4 linked regions of the Ovis aries genome follow. The protein of the gene in region 1 purifies or fractionates together with the protein of each later gene. This does not show direct contact. Links are inferred from orthologs where the notes say so. Each region holds a gene or a part of one and is shown on either strand. Other genes may lie near its edges.

What was found.
Region 2: the proteins of RUNX2 (region 1) and HDAC4 purify together in Homo sapiens (affinity purification with western blotting; 3 studies listed by BioGRID). This does not show direct contact. The link is inferred for Ovis aries from reciprocal best matches to the Homo sapiens genes RUNX2 and HDAC4.
Region 3: the proteins of RUNX2 (region 1) and SMAD1 purify together in Homo sapiens (affinity purification with western blotting; 3 studies listed by BioGRID). This does not show direct contact. The link is inferred for Ovis aries from reciprocal best matches to the Homo sapiens genes RUNX2 and SMAD1.
Region 4: the proteins of RUNX2 (region 1) and UBTF purify together in Homo sapiens (co-immunoprecipitation; 3 studies listed by BioGRID and IntAct, with this or other methods). This does not show direct contact. The link is inferred for Ovis aries from reciprocal best matches to the Homo sapiens genes RUNX2 and UBTF.

What each region holds. Positions count from the first base shown.
Region 1 is NC_056073.1:18,565,223-18,569,543, forward strand, and holds the start of RUNX2 (runt-related transcription factor 2), read left to right. Parts: upstream 1-1,415; 5' UTR 1,416-1,480; coding exon 1,481-1,538; intron 1,539-4,321. UniProt on the Homo sapiens protein: Transcription factor involved in osteoblastic differentiation and skeletal morphogenesis. Essential for the maturation of osteoblasts and both intramembranous and endochondral ossification.
Region 2 is NC_056054.1:2,354,709-2,358,367, forward strand, and holds part of HDAC4 (histone deacetylase 4), read left to right. Parts: intron 1-901; coding exon 902-1,140; intron 1,141-3,659. UniProt on the Homo sapiens protein: Responsible for the deacetylation of lysine residues on the N-terminal part of the core histones (H2A, H2B, H3 and H4).
Region 3 is NC_056070.1:12,815,856-12,819,514, reverse strand, and holds part of SMAD1 (mothers against decapentaplegic homolog 1), read left to right. Parts: intron 1-134; coding exon 135-251; intron 252-3,659. UniProt on the Homo sapiens protein: Transcriptional modulator that plays a role in various cellular processes, including embryonic development, cell differentiation, and tissue homeostasis.
Region 4 is NC_056064.1:43,773,796-43,778,002, reverse strand, and holds the start of UBTF (nucleolar transcription factor 1), read left to right. Parts: upstream 1-1,313; 5' UTR 1,314-1,566; intron 1,567-2,148; exon of another isoform or gene 2,149-2,252; intron 2,253-2,442; exon of another isoform or gene 2,443-4,207. UniProt on the Homo sapiens protein: Recognizes the ribosomal RNA gene promoter and activates transcription mediated by RNA polymerase I (Pol I) through cooperative interactions with the transcription factor SL1/TIF-IB complex.

The sequences.
Region 1 (4,321 bases):
CTTCTGTTAACCCACTCCATTCTGAGCTCAGAGAAATCAATAACATTTAACAATCTAAGTTACAACATAAGAATTTTACTTTATATTTGTATAAGATTTGCTATCAAAGGCTCTGTTAAAGCTAATATCCAAAGAAACTATTTAAAGGATTATACAAAATGAGTATATTTCCTTAAAAACTCAAAAATTATTACAAGCATAAAGAAAACTAAGATCCATCCAATAAACTTGGGCTGCTATAATTCTTGCTATTCATTTTTATAAGATACTCAAACTAGCCATGAGATAAAGGTAAATGTAATACAAAATGTACCAATTATATTTCATCTTTATTGTAGGAGCCAGCATCCAATATTGATCATACATAAACTAGACAGACATGATTTAATATTTGTAAAGGAATTCCCAGACTAACACTTTCATGACAGCCAATTTACAGTCAAGCCCAGCAAGCAGTTTGCAACCAGACCTTAAAAAAGGTAAACTTTTTTACAATGAGTTACAGATTCACGAGTTTAAGAAGACAAGAAAAAGAAAAACAGGACTCCAATCACCCAGCAAATATGAAGCAGACCCCAGAATGTGATACAGTCCAAAGATGTAAATTATTGTAAATCATCACTGTTGTTCAGGATTTCACACACCGCCTCTTGAGCCAATTTTGCTCACTTCTCCACAGACACAATAATGAACTAAATAAAAGGAGGAGGCACCAAAAATATAGGGATGGGGGATAGAAAAGAAAGCCCCCAAATGCAGAGCTCTGCTCCACAGACGCTTAACCTTACAGGAGTTTGGGCTCCTTCAGCATTTGTATTCTATCCAAATCCTCATGAGTCACAAAAATTAAAAAGCTATATCCTTCTGGATGCCAGGAAGGGCCTTACCACAAGCCTTTTGTCAGAGGGAGAGAGAGAAAGAAAGAGCATGAGCAAGGGGGGGAAGCCACAGTGGTAGGCAGTCCCACTTGACTGTGAGTACTGTGAGGTCACAAACCACATGATTCTGTCTCTCCAGTAATAGTGCTTGCAAAAAAAAGGAGTTTGAAAGCTTTTGCTTTTTTGGATTGTGTGAATGCTTCATTCGCCTCACAAACAACCACAGAACCACAAGTGCGGTGCAAACTTTCTCCAGGAGGACAGCAAGAAGTCTCTGGTTTTTAAATGGTTAATCTCCGCAGGTCCCTACCAGCCACCGAGACCAACAGAGTCAGTGAGTGCTCTCTAAACCACAGTCTATGCAGTAATAGTAGGTCCTTCCAATATTTGCTCATTCTCTTTTTTGTTTTGTTTCCTTGCTTTTCCCATGCTACCAGCTACATAATTTCTTGACAGAAAAAAAATAAATATCAAGTCTATGTACTGCAGGCATACTGTAAAACTAAAACAAGGCTTGGGTATGGTTTGTGTTTTCAGTTTAAGGCTGCAAGCAGAATTTACAACAGAGGGTCCAAGTTCTATCTGAAAAAAAAGGAGGGACTATGGCATCAAACAGCCTCTTCAGCACAGTGACACCATGTCAGCAAAACTTCTTTTGGGGTAAGTGTTATCATATTTTAAAATCCTATCAGAGATGAACCTGTTAAACAGAAAGGTATGTTGCTCGGATAAACTTGCTAGCTTCGCCGGCTAACATTATATGAAAGGTCATAATGATGCTGTTTTGTTGCACTGAAAGCTGAAAAATGAAATTGCAGTACAAATGTGCTTCTGGCATCTGTAACTTATCTACTTCTCGGGCTAATGACTTGAAATAGAAAAAATTAAATTATCTCACATTAGTCTAAATGTTTTCTAGGGTTATTGAGATGAGGTAGCCGAAACAGTAAAGCAAAGTTTAATACTCTCATTAACCCTCACTGAAATAAAATTAGACACTAAATTAGTCAAAGTATTGTGAAAAGTATTCATTCCGGCAGCTCCCAATATTTGAGCAAACTTTAAAAAGGAAGCAATTTTACAAAATAACAGACCACAGAAGTATCTTGACATTATACTCAAGCATGCAAACAGAGAAAGAAACCTGCAGTATAACTAACATTTTAACCAGCTCAACTAAAAGATATCTATTTATAATTTTAAACTGTATCATAAGCTATCTGCACAAGCTTGTTTCTAAACAATTTTACAGAACTGAAGCATACATTCAAAAAAATTATGATAAGTATGTAACAGCCATTTTTAAAAACTCTTTATAGTTGCCCAGGAATCCAAGATATTGAAAAGCTCACAGACGTCTTCAAAACCTTACATGCAATCATAACTTTCTATACAATTTTCATTTACATCTACACACTATTACCCATATGTAGAACTTGTTATAAACCCACAGCAAACATCGAAATGTCTAGGATTCTTTTAATCATATTCTTGAACCTACCAAGTGAGTTATCGTTTAGTCTCATAAAAAAGAAAATTCTGTAAGGATACTCTGCATGATTTAAAAGAGCCAGACCAATTAAGTCATGCTGGACTTTAAATAAAACAGGCATAATGTAGTATTAATATTTAATTTCCAGTTAGTGTTGATACAGAAAGTAAACTACTTTAACATTCATCAGCCAAAGTGGTATTGTAGTAAAATAGCTAAACACTTACAAGATTTTCTTTATGATGTCCAACATGTTCTCTAAGACAAGTTTATAAAATTTTCTTTTATCCCTTAAAATAAATCCTTTTGCTGTGTATACCTGTATTAACTTTGCTTTATAACTTACAACTAACGATTGGAGTTTCCTTTACTCCTCCTACTTCACACATTTTAACTGGCTACCAGAGGATCAGTCTTAGTTTCGGTCAAAGAGAAATAATTAAACCTGAAGGAGAAAAAAGGTTTCTCTTAAAAGGGTGAGGAAATGTACTATGTATTTTACTAAAAAATGTAAAACTGCTGTAGTGACTCCTCAACAGCTCTAAGTGGGCCCCCTCGGTTATAACACATCCAATATAATGATCACAGATTATTTTTTTAATGTAATGGAAGGTAATGAGCATTACTGTAAAAACTTTTGCATTAAGGAAGCAGAACATATACACAACTAGACTGCATTAACAACTCTTATAATTATAGTTTCTACATGGAAACTTTTGCTATACCTACTCAAGAAGAGGGGGAAAAATGCTTGAAACAATTGTTATATGGAGGGATAACTTGAAACAGGCACCTCAAGAAGTTAAGTTACTCTTCACAATATTACTCTGCTTTTAAAAAAAATAATGAGTTTTCAAACCAGATCAGGAACACAAATTTCAAGCACTATTTCAGCATCAGATTTAAAGTTATTAATATAGTCACAAAAAATATGTTTAAATGTTCTTTATTCTATCATGACAGGGAGTCTTACATTTCTGTAACATCCTTATAACTATTTCTATAGTAAAATTTGCAAAACTTGACCAAGTTAGAAACAAGGCATTAACAGTGAATTAGATAATCTTCTATCACATGTCATATATGCTTATACATCATAACTTAAGTCTTCTTCTTCTGCAAAGTGGAATTTACCCCTTCCCGCACCCAAACAGTATTGGAGAGCCTGAATAGAGAACAGAAAATGAACCCACTTCACCGGACTAATTACAGGTGGGTGGTGGACAGAAGGTACAGGGTATCATCACATTACAAACATTTCCCCCTTCTGGAATCTATCTGAAGTCTGAAACCTCACTTTAGGCTTTAAATGTTTACATAATTGATCACCAAAATAACCTAGTGAAATGTCAAAAGTATGTACTTCAATTTTGTAAAATACTTTTAAAAGTTCGGGCTCTTCCTAGGTGAGGGACAAAGCTGACCAACTGTTTCACCTCAAAATAATGAGGGAAAAGAGTGTGAGTGTATGTGTGAGTATGTAAGAGAGTGTGTGTGTTGTGTATGAATTTTCAATCTGCGCTACTCAAAATCTGTTCATTATTTATCATAAATTAAGTCTGTTAAAATAAATAGATGTAACTCATGGAGCATCTTACCATTAAAAACTTACTTATGAAAATATATCAGCTGACAAACAATTTCTACATAAAACTTTGCAACTGATCATAGTGCCGGACAGAACGTGATGTGTGAACACTGACTTCCAAAACAATACTTGTGGTTCATATCAATGATAGTGACTTTATAGTTTCAAGATTGACTAGCAACAAAGTGTCACAACTTGCTTCTAAAATAAGAGAGCTAAACTCCAAAATCCAGGGATCTCCCCTGATTTAAAAAGAACATACACAGAGGATCCACTCCTATTAAAAACTACCAAGGTTGATGTAATTTCCAAAGATACTTATTATGAATTATTTTACATAAGAGTAAATAAGCATAATTTTAC
Region 2 (3,659 bases), on another chromosome or scaffold:
GCTTGGGTTCGACTAAACATGGCAACACAGCCCCCTCCAGGAGTCAGCGCTGGGCGGCTGAGAGCTGGCATGGCCTGTCCACCTGTGATTTTCCTGGTCAGACGCCCTGATCTGGGGTCACAGGCAGCCTGAGTGATGTGGTTAGTTTCTCCAGCTCTGGTGCCGAGGGACAGATACGCAGGGGGCCTGGGAAGGGTCTGTTACACCCTTTTGCCTGTGGTACCAGGGAAAATGGTAAACTGTCTAAACCCACAATTTATAAAAGAAAAAGTACTGATGGCTGAAAGGAATATAGAAGGAGAACATTCCCCCTCCTGGTTCACATGAGGAGGTTGCATTTTGAAGCAAGATTCAAACACAGATTCAAACCTACCCTCTTCTGTCCACACAGATTCTTAATTTAAACACTCAGCCCAGACACGGTGCGGCCGAGCTGCCCTTCTCCTGGGCAGCAGGTGACAGCCTTTCCTAGAAATTTGCAGAGATTTTGACAACATGCATCAGAATTTTTTTCAAGTGTTGATGCCCTCTTTGTGTATAAAATCGACGTCTTGAGACCCTTAAAATGGTTTGGTTCATAAGGGCAGGTGTCTTCCTCACACCTGGGTTTCTGAGGCTGTCAAAAAGGTGCCCACTCGCTGGTCTTCCAGAACATTCTGGAGCCACCAGACCCTAGCCCCTTCCTCTGAGGGCGCCTGTGCTGGGGCTGCCCACTTACGACCTGGACTGGGTATGGGGGGACCAGATGACTGGCCACTGCCCCTAAGTCCAGGCTTCGGGTGGTCAGCGTGCAGGAGCAGACCTGGCGGGCTTCGGGGAGGCTGTGGCGGCCAGCCTCCGTCACGGACTCACCAGGCCTCGCCCCTCCCTTCTGTTCCTCCCCTCCCCGTGCTCTCTCCAGACCGCTATCTTGCAGGCCTGGGCGCGCTGCCCCTGCACGCGCAGCCCCTGGTGGGGGCCGAGCGCGTGGCACCCTCGGTGCACAAGCTGCGGCAGCACCGCCCGCTGGGCCGCACGCAGTCGGCGCCGCTGCCTCAGAGCGCGCAGGCGCTGCAGCACCTGGTCATCCAGCAGCAGCACCAGCAGTTCCTGGAGAAGCACAAGCAGCACTTCCAGCAGCCGCAGCTGCACCTCAACAAGGTGAGGCGCGGGGCGGGGCCAGGAGTGGTGGGGGCGGGGTCAGGAACACGTGGGGGTAGGGCCAGGAGTGATGGGGGCGGGGCCGGGGACACGTGGGGGCGGGGCCGGGGACACAGGGCAGTGAGCAGCTTGTCCCGTTGGTGGCATGAAGGAGGCAGGAGTGGGGTGGGCTATGTTCCCGAAGCGTCTGTGTCCCTGGGTGGCTTATTCTCCTTGCCCCTCAGGAGTCTCTGGGGTTTCTTAAGGGGATTTATCCTCTTAAGCAAACTTCCAGCAGAGAGTCCCCAGCGGAGAGTGCCCAGCAGAGGCACAGGGCCCCCAAAGCACAGGTTCCAGGCCCCTGGACACTGGCGCTCTGCCTGCCCATTGCAGCAGCCTCGGCCAGAGGGCTCCTGCCCAGAGGTCTGCGTCCCTCCATCCAGCATCTGGTCGGTCACTCCCAACCTGCTTTCAGCAGCAGGCGGCACCGAGGTCAGTGTGGCCCCCCCTGCTGGTTATTGAAGCAAGAGCAGCAGTTTCAAATAACTGGTTCCAAATGCTAACATTGGAAGCAAAGCCCTTTTCTGGTAGAGAATGAGAGGAACTACTCTGGAAAGCTGTCCAGCGGTTCCTCCAAAGGTTAAACGCAGAGCCATCACACTGCCTGGCAGCTCCCGTCCTGGGAGAATTGGGGGCCCTGAACAAACAGCAAGCTGCCCCAGACCAGGCCCTACTGCCTGCCCAAGCGCTTGGACACAGGCTCAGCACCCCTGCCCCAGAGCCGCTCTGCCTGGCGGGCTCCCCTACCAGATGGCACAGGGCAGGGTCAGGAGTGGGTGGGGCGGCTGGACGCAGCCCTGCGGGGCAGGAAAGGCACCTTTAAGGTGGACAAGACGGAGGCCGAAGTGTCAGAGGCACTCTGCGTCACCTTTCTGATGCCGACGGTCTTCTTGCTTGCGTTGTGCCGTTCTCTGAGTGATAGGGTAGGAGACTGGAAAGACGGAACACCTGTTCACGTGTGGTATGTTCTCCAACAGAGAGACAGACGCGGCTGATCTCTCTGGATTTCCCTCCGTGATTGATTTGCTGTCGCGAGCGACAGCTGATTGAAGTGTTTATGCACTGATCTCCCGGAGGGTGCGGGGAGCTGACAGTCGTACCCAGCACTGCCAGTACCGACATTTCTGCCCCCTGTCTTCCGGGCCCGTGGCCTGAAGGCTCCTGAGCCAAGGCCCGCAGCCCCACCCCGCAGCCCTGCCTGGAGTGCACCAGGGTCTCAGCCATTCCTCGCATGGGTTACTGCTCCTCAGCCCAGTTGTGAACGTGAACACTGGGTCCCAATTGTTTGGACGTCTAATGGTGAGCGTGTCCAGTAGTCTTAAACGCTGGCCTGCTCACCAGTTTGGTTTGGGCCCTGAACTCCAGTCTGGCTTTTAGAAGCTTGCTGTTCCAAGCATGGAGTTCCCTCCGTTCTCGCTCAGTTGGTGAGAGGGTGCTCCTGAGGCCCAGAAGGCCTTGGGGAGGCAGAGTGGCTCTGTGTGTGCTGTTTGCTGCTGGGTCAGCGCGGTCGTTCACAAGGCCATGCATGCCCACTCAGAGCTGACCTCCTGGCAGGGCCGGGGGCAGCCCCGGCTCCTCCAGGATCAGCCACGGCTTCTCCAAGTTCCCTGGGAGAAGCCCCACCTCCGTTTCCCTGCTTCTTCGTCTGCCTGCTTCTTCCTAACCATCATTTCCAGCCCTGGCCTATCGCCCGACCCCTTGCTCCGATCCCCCTTCCCAGGACAGCCCCTCACAGGTTGCCCAGAGTTTGGGTCTCAGCCTCTCTGTGGCAGGCCCAGGTCCCGTGCCCCTCACGCCCCGACCTCCCTCCATGCAGCTGTCCTCAGGCGCCTGGCCTGGAATCCCAAGGGTCCCCTGGCGCGCCTGGACCAGCCCCTCTGCTGATCTTCTGCCCCCTCCCGACTGAGCCCCCAAAGGGTCATTTCTCTGCAGGCAGTCCCCTGACCCCACCCGTTCTCAGCCTGACTGTTTATCTTCCCACAGCAGAGAGGAGCTTGCCTCCCGCTCTGAGACAGCACCTGCCTCCCAGACCATCATCTGGAGGCTTAAGTCTGTGGTGCTGGGGGCTCCCGTCCCCATGTCCCCCCCGCTGTCCACGCCCTGTCCCCGTGTCCTCCTCCCTCCTCCCACGCAGTGCCCACAGCCTCTTCCCCCACAGCCGCACCCTGGAGCACACCACAGGGGCCTTGCCCGCTCCCACTCTCCCCCGTCCTTGTTCCCTCCCCGTCACTCTGCTGTGACGTCTACTCACCAGTCTGTCCCCCAGCCACCTTCCCAGGCCCTGCGCTCCCCAAACCTCCCGTCAACCCCAGCCTGTTACCTGTTGGGCTCTGCATCAGACGCTGAGGGATGACGAAGCGCGAGCGCTTTGGCCCCGCGGACCATAAAGCTGAGGCTCCTGATGCCACCTGCTGAGGTTTCCAGGCCCCTGTGGACCTGGGGGGCCCAGGAGAGGCCCAGAGCCCTCTGCTGGTGGAGAT
Region 3 (3,659 bases), on another chromosome or scaffold:
TCTAGATGGGGAGGGTGAGGTGGCCACTTAATCTCATAAGAATTTTGGCATGGAAGAGAATATATGTTTTAAGCTTGTGTGCTTGCGTGTTTACTAAGGATAAACAAATCTTTTTTTTTTTCCAAATTTTGTAGCAGATACACCCCCACCTGCTTACCTGCCCCCTGAAGACCCCATGACCCAGGATGGCTCTCAACCCATGGACACAAATATGATGGCGCCTTCTCTGCCCTCAGAAATCAACAGAGGAGGTAAAAATGAACTGCTGCTTATTCTCTTTTTAGAATCTGAAGTTCTCTGTCCAAATGTTGCTCGCTCCCACAAATTTTTTATTAGTCTTGAAAAAGATAGCTATTTGAAAAGGAGCATTTATAACAAGAGAATTTCACTAAAAAGAATTCCTTGGTTTAGAAATAAGCCTTTTATATGAAGAACAGATACACCGATTTAGCTAATGAAAGTCTAAATATAATTGTGCAGCCATCTGTTTAGAGCCTTAGTACTTAATACTTCCAAATTGGTGATAAAAGAATATTTTTAAGTGAAAGACCAAGGGATGTTGAGCGGGGGTGGGAAGTGAATATAAAATTGAAATAGAGTTTTCACTGGGATTTCCAAAATGAAAAGTTCATACAACAAGGCGTTCCAAACGCTTCTTTTGTTGTCAGGATAAATATTCGTAAGCCTCATCTTCCTTCTGGCCCTCATCTAGAATAGTGGCAGCTGAACCAAACTAAGAGCATTTGTTCCCTGTGTGCACGCTTCAATTAAGGCAAACAGAAGGACTTCTCAGGTGGCACAGTGGTAAAGGATCCGCCTACAATGAAGGACACACAGGTTCAGTACCTGGGTTGGGAAGATCCCCTTGAATAGGAAATGGCAACCCACTCCAGTATTCTTGCCTGGAGGATTCCATGGACAGGAGCCTGGCTGGCTACAGTCCGTGGGGTCACAAAGAGTCTGACACGACTTTGTGACTAAAAGACAGCAACTCAAATTGAAGTTAAAATACAAGTTCATTATTAGGTATGTCTTATTTCCTTCTTTCAGTTCAGTTCAGTCGGTCAGTCGTGTCCGACTCTTTGCAACCCCATGAATTGCAGCATGCCAGGTCTCCCTGACCATCACCAGCTCCCAGAGTTCACCCAAATTCACGTGCATCGAGTCGGTGATGCCATCCAGCCATCTCATCCTCTGTCGTCCCCTTCTTCTCCTGCCCCTAATCCCTCCCAGCATCAGGCTTTTTTCCAATGAGTCAGCTCTTCACATGAGGTGGCCAAAGTATTGGAGTTTCAGCTTTAGCATCAGTCCTTCCAAAGAACACCCAGGACTGATCTCCTTTAGAATGGACTGGTTGGATCTCCTTACAGTCCAAGGGACTCTCAGGAGTCTTCTCCAACACCACAGTTCAAAAGCATCAATTCTTTGGCACTCAGCTTTCTTCACAGTCCAACTCTCACATCCATACATGACCACTGGAAAAACCATAGCCTTGACTAGATGGACCTTTATTGGCAAAGTAATGTCTCTGCTTCTGAATACACTATCTAGGTTGGTCATCACTTTCCTTCCAAGGAGTAAGCGTTTTTTAATTTCATGGCTGCAGTCACCATCTGCAGTGATTTTGAAGCCCCCAAAATAAAGTCTTCTACTGTTTCCCCATCTATTTCCCATGAAGTGATGGGACCAGATGCCATGATCTTCTGAATGTTGAGCTTTAAGCCAGCTTTTTCACTCTCCTCTTTCACTTTCATCAAGAGGCTTTTTAGTTCCTCTTCACTTTCTGCCATAAGGGTGGTGTCATCTGCATCTCTGAGGTTATTGATATTTCTCCCAGCAATCTTGATTTCAGCTTGTGCTTCTTCCAGCCCAGTGTTTCTCATGATGTACTCTGCATGGAAGTTAAATAAGCAGGGTGACAATATACAGCCTTGACGTACTCCTTTTCCTATTTGGAACCGTCTGTTGATCCATGTCCAATTCTAACTGTTGCTTCTTGACCTCCATACAGGTTTCTCAAGAGGCAGGTCAGGTGGTCTGGTATTCCCATCTCTTTCAGAATTTTCCACAGTTTATTGTGATCCAATCAAAGGCTTTGACATAGTAAAGCAGAAATAGATGTTTTTCTGGAACTCTCTTGCTTTTTCCATGATCCAGCAGATGTTGGCAATTTGATCTCCAGTTCCTCTGCCTTTTCTAAAACCAACTTGAACATCAGGAAGTTCATGGTTCACGTATTGCTAAAGCCTGGGTTGGAGAATTTTGAGCATTACTTTACTAGCATGTGAGATGAGTGCAATTGTGCAGTAGTTTAAGCATTCTTTGGCATTGCCTTTCTTTGGGATTGGAATGAAAACTGACCTTTTCCAGTCTTGTGGCCACTGCTGAGTTTTCCAAATTTGCTGGCATATTGAGTGCAGCACTTTCACAGCATCATCTTTCAGGATTTGAAAGAGTTCAACTGGAATTCCATCACCTCCACTAGCTTTGTTCATTGTGATACTTTCTAAGGCCCACTTGATTTCCCATTGCAGGATGTCTGGCTCTAGGTGAGTGACACACCATTGTGATTATCTGGATCGTGAAGATCTTTTTTGTACAGTTCTTCTGTGTATTCTTGCCACCTCTTCTTAATATCTCTGCTTCTGTTAGCTCCATACCATTTCTGTCCTTTATCGAGCCCATCTTTGCATGAAATGTTCCCTTGGTATCTCTAATTTTCTTGAAGAGATCTCTAGTCTTTCCCAATCTGTTGTTTTCCTCTATTTCTTTGCATCGATTGCTGAAAAAGGCTTTCTTATCTCTTCTTGCTATTCTTTGGAACTCTGCATTCAGATGCTTATATCTTTCCTTTTCTCCTTTGCTTTTTGCTTGTCTTCTTTTCACAGCTATTTGTAAGGCCTCCTCAGACAGCCATTTTGCTTTTTTTGCATTTCTTTTCCATGGGGATGGTCTTGATCCCTGTCTCCTATACAATGTCACAAAGCTCCGTCCATAATTCATCAGGCACTCTATCAGATCTAGGTCCTTAAATCTATTTCTCACTAATCATAAGGAATTTGATTTAGGTCATACCTGAATGGTCTAGCGGTTTTCCCTACTTTCTTCAATTTAAGTCTGAATTTGGCAATAAGGAGTTCATGATCTGAGCCACAGTCAGCTCCCAGTCTTGTTTTTGCTGGCTGTATGGAGCTTCTCCATCTTTGGCTGCAAAGAATATAATCAATCTGATGTCCATGTGGACTATCTGGTGGTGTCCATGTGTAGAGTCTTCTCTTGTGTTGTTGGAAGAGGGTGTTTGCTATGACCAGTGAGAATTAGCACTTTTTAAAGTAAAGGACTGGAAATAACCTCAGACTTTTTCAGAAGTCGCAGATATTTTTTTAAGGTTTTCAAAGTTGATGATGAACTCAGAGATCTTTCCTTCAATGTGCAGTGCAATAAATTGGAAGTCATACCTTTTTAAGGTGTAAATATTTCTTATATCTTTTTTATTGGCTATGTGTTTTATGTTTTTACTGCCTCTGGATTTTGATAATCTGTGAAGCATCCTCTCAAACATATAATTATGAGCTGACAAAGATTCTGGTTGGAGAAAATAACTCCTGTCTCACACACCTTTGGAACGTGTATTTGGGGAACAGAAGAGAACAGGCACA
Region 4 (4,207 bases), on another chromosome or scaffold:
TACTCGCCGCCGATGCAATTGCCGAGCGACCCTCGGGACTGAAGTAACCACACAGCTGCTATTCTAATTTTATAGACAAGAAAACTGGGATCAGATGAAGTTAAGACATTTAACCAAACTCACACTGTTAAGGTGGGAAAGCCCAGAGGCTGGAAACCTGGGACTTCTGACTCCAAACCCTTTGATGTTTCGAAGTCAAAACAAGAAAGTCATTCCCTGCAGGTTCTAAGTTGGAGAAGGAAATGGCAACCCACTCCAGTATTCTTGCCTGGAGAATCCCAGAGTCGGAGGAGCCTGGTGGGCTGCCGTCTGTGGGGTCACGCAGAGTCGGACACGACTGAAGCGACTTAGCAGCAGCAGCAGCAGGTTCTAAGTACAGCGTGACATGGCTTGGTCCTTCACAAAATGCCCTCTGTAAGTTCCAAGGGCAGAACTGGGTTTGTGGGGAGGGGGAGGGGCGAGTAAAAAATAATACCAAATGATGAATCAAAAGTAAAGAGATAGCCTGCGATGAGGGCCCTGAAGCTTAAGCTTCACTAGCATCAAGGTAAATTGGCCCCGCCTACCCACTAAAAAATTCGGACACACCAGATCTTGACAAGATTTTCCTCCCGGTTTGTGAAACGTGGCAGATGTGGGCTGTGGAAGTCCTGGGAAAGGACTCTCAGTTCTCCCAGGGGACAAGATAAATTACAGCAACAGCGAGGCCGTGGTGTGGGGATGGAGAAGGCTGTGTGACAGGGGAAGAGTCCAAAGGGGCCGGCGGCCCAGCTGGCAGTGCCGCTGTGGTAGGCTGGCATCCCTAGAGCCGGGGGCGATGGCGCCGCCCCGGAGCGATGGCCCAAACCGTAGGCTCGCCTGATGGAAGCAAGCGTTCTTCAGACCGTCTTCTGGCTTCCTGCGTCCAGATGAACCTTTCTCGGTGGAGGAGAGGCAGAGACAGACAACCGCAGCCGACGGCAGTGGGAGGGTAGATGGTGGTCGCGCCTAGGCCTTTCTATCTCCGGCCCGCAGGATGGTGGAGAGCGGAGGCCTACGGGAAGGCTGCCCCGCTGGGGCTCTGGCGGCGAGGCCGGGGTGCCAGGCTCCCCTCGCGGCTCCCCGCCGCCGCCGGGGGGAGGAGGGGCAGGGGGAGCAGAGCCCGCGGCCTGCTTTCCCAGGGCTGGCCAAGCCTTTTTGACAAGCTGATAGCGTGCCGGGGATTGGCTGGTCCGGGCGTGACGCCGGTTAACAACAAAGGTGGAGTTGGAAGAAATTAGATTAAAGGAGGGGGGGGGGGGTTTGGAAATTAAAGGGGGAGCAGGCTGGAGACTGGAGGCAGAGACCGAAGGGGAGATGCGCGAAGCGCGGTCTCGCGGCTCCGCTTCGCCCCGGAATCCCCTTCGCCTAAACCCACCGGGATTTTTGCTCTCAACCGACTCCCGCGGCCCAGCTACCGAAGCAGGGGTGGGACGGATGGTTGCTGCTTCTTGAAAAATGCCCCCAACTCTCACCCTGACACCCCTTTACTATGGCCCAAGGGGAGAACTCTTTGCTCGGACTCCTCGGATCCTAAACTCGGAGGAGGTGAGGGGCATTGAGAATAGCGAGAGGTTCGCTCTAAAACCCGGAAGGCCCTCGCGGGGCACCGAGAACGGACGAGGCGGGGCACTCCCCCGGTTTTCCAATGTGTTGCAAACCTAAGAGCTTTTCTTGCTTGCTTTTTTTTTTTTTTTTTGGTAACACCCTTCCCCCCCTTTTCTCTCCCCCCCACCCTGCTTTGGCTCCAGGGTTGCAAAAGCAAAGAGCAATAAAAAAAAAAAAAAAAAAAGAAAGAAACCCGCGCATACACTCAGACACACACCAGTGGCGACAGGGGAGAGTTGGAAAGACGCAGGAGAGAAGCAGGAGGCAGCGGGGAGGGAGCAATGGGAGCGGGAAGCCGGCAGGTTCCCTCGCAAATCCCCCTCCGGCCCAACGTCGCCTCGCCGGCCCCGGCAGGGGAGCGAGGAGCCGGGCGAGCAGATGGAGGAGTGGAGCTCGCTCTAGGCAGCAGGCTTGGCCGGAGAATGGAGGAGCCGCCAAGCGATCGGCTGATTGGAAGAGAAACGCAGAGCGATGGAGGCGGGGGTAGGAGGACGATTTCTCTGCGGGGACTGGCGGCGGCGTATACGCCCGGGTCGGGCGCTGCAGAGCTTGGCTAGCTTTCAACCCGCGCTCGCCGGCTCCAGCCCCACGCGCCCCCACCCCCAGCCCTCCCGGCGGCTCCGCAGGTGAGTGCGAGCTGGGGGCAAAAAGACTCGAAAGTCTCAACACGCCCGCCCTGCCAAAAGGAGGAAAAAAAAAGAAAAGCATTTTTCCTTTTCTTTTTTTTTATTTTCGTGCAGCCCCCAGCACGGTGGGAGGGAAGGGGTGAGGCTGAGTCGCCCGGAGGAGGCGGAGGGGCCAGGCGAGGCCGGGGTGGCCCGGGAGGCGGCGGCGCCGAGGCGGCTCTGACGGGCTAGCGCTCGGAGCGGCGCTGCGCTGCGCCGAGGCGGGCGGGCGGGCGGGCGGAGCGGGGCGGGCGGAGCGCGGCGCGTGGGGCTCGCCATTAGCCGTCGCTCCGCTTCGCCATCTCGGGCTTTGTCTGGCGGCTTGCTGCCCCGGCGTCGGCTGCGGCGGAGCTGCGGCTCAGCTCTTCGGCCCGCCGCACCCTTAAGGCGCCCTTGGCCCGTGCTCCCATTCACACGCTCGGTAAGTGAGCCCCGGCGCCGCGGATTTCGGGGGAGAGGGGTTTCTACGAGTGGCGGCGGCGCCGATCTCCATGCGCCCGGGCAGGCCTGGGGAGCCATGCCGGGCTGGATTGAACCAGCTCCCACAGAGGCTCCTCCGCCGACTCGTAGCTTTATCGCCGCTTGTGGGATTTAAAGAGCAAAGAAGATTTTTTTTTTCTGTTTTAATTTGCAAAGAGGACATTTTTTAGGGATTTTTTTTTTTTTCAAGTTTCGTGTGTGTGCTGCTTAGCAGCGAGGCAGGCTCCGAAGCCTGGCACGGCGATTGGCTTGCGTGCGCCCCAAGCCGGTGGCTACGCTCCGGGGATAAGGGTGGGCGCGAAATGCCCGCTCCGGGAGGCGGGCGAGTGAGCGGGTGAGGGCTGGAGTGGAAGCCCGAATCTGAGCTGGGGGAGAGAGCTCTGGAGCTGGGCTGCAAACACCCCCGGAGCCTCTCCAGCTGCCGGGGGGCCCTCCGGCACCCTCTCTGCGGTCGCGCCTCGCGCCCTCCCTCCTGCGCCGGCCGAGCCTGCTAGTTCCCCCGCGGGTCTGGCGAGGTCGCTCTCGGCGCCCGCCCGCCTCGGCTCCGAGCCCCGCCGCCATCCGGGCGGCTGCGTGTCTCCCTGCCCCGACCCCCCCCCCCCCTCCCCGGCGGCAGCAGCAGCCGCCGCCGCCGCCACCACCACCACCACCACCAGCACTACCCCCCTCCCCTCCTTCCTTCCCTCCGCCTCGGCCGCCCGGGTCCCCCCAGCTCCCGCCCCTCCTCCCAGCTGCCCCCCGCGGAGCCCGCCCGGGCAGGCTGTGGGAGGGAGCGGAGCCGGCGAGGCGGGCGGGCTGGCGCTCGCTCCCCGGGGGTCGGTGTGCGCTCTACGGGGAAGGACGCGCTCGCTGCCCCGCTTCTCCCGCCCCCCCTCCCGCTCCTCCTCCTCCCTTCTCCCTCCTCCTCCCCGCTCCGGCGGCGGAGGCTGCGGCGGCGGCGGGGGGTGTGCGAGCTGAGGCCGGGGCCGGCGGGCGGGCGGCGGGCGGGCTGCCTGCAGGCGGAGGGCGCTGTGCTTTGTGCTTTTCGCCGCGAGGAGCAGCAGGCAGCAGCCACAGCCGCAGCCGCCGCCGCCACAGCAGCAGCCGCCGCCCCAGCGCCGCCGCCGCCGCGCCCGGAGGAGGAGCCGCTGCCGCCGCGGGAGGGAGCTGCGGCTGTGCCCGGCCGAGCGGGGGAGGGCGCCGCCGATCAGAGCCGGGGAGGGAGCCGCCGGAGCGGGAAGCCCGGAGGCCGCGCTGCGCCGGGTAACCGAGGCGGCTGAGGACGCGCGCCGGGTCGGGGCCGGGGCCAGGCGGCGGGGAGCGAGCCGTGGGTGCGGTGGACGCCTGGAGACCCGGGGCGAGTTCCAGGCAGAGAACTGGGCGAGAGAGGACCAGGGCAAATGGAGAGGACGCCGAGAGCCGGGGGAGGGGAGGGCAGGAAGCGAGGCCCAAGCCGA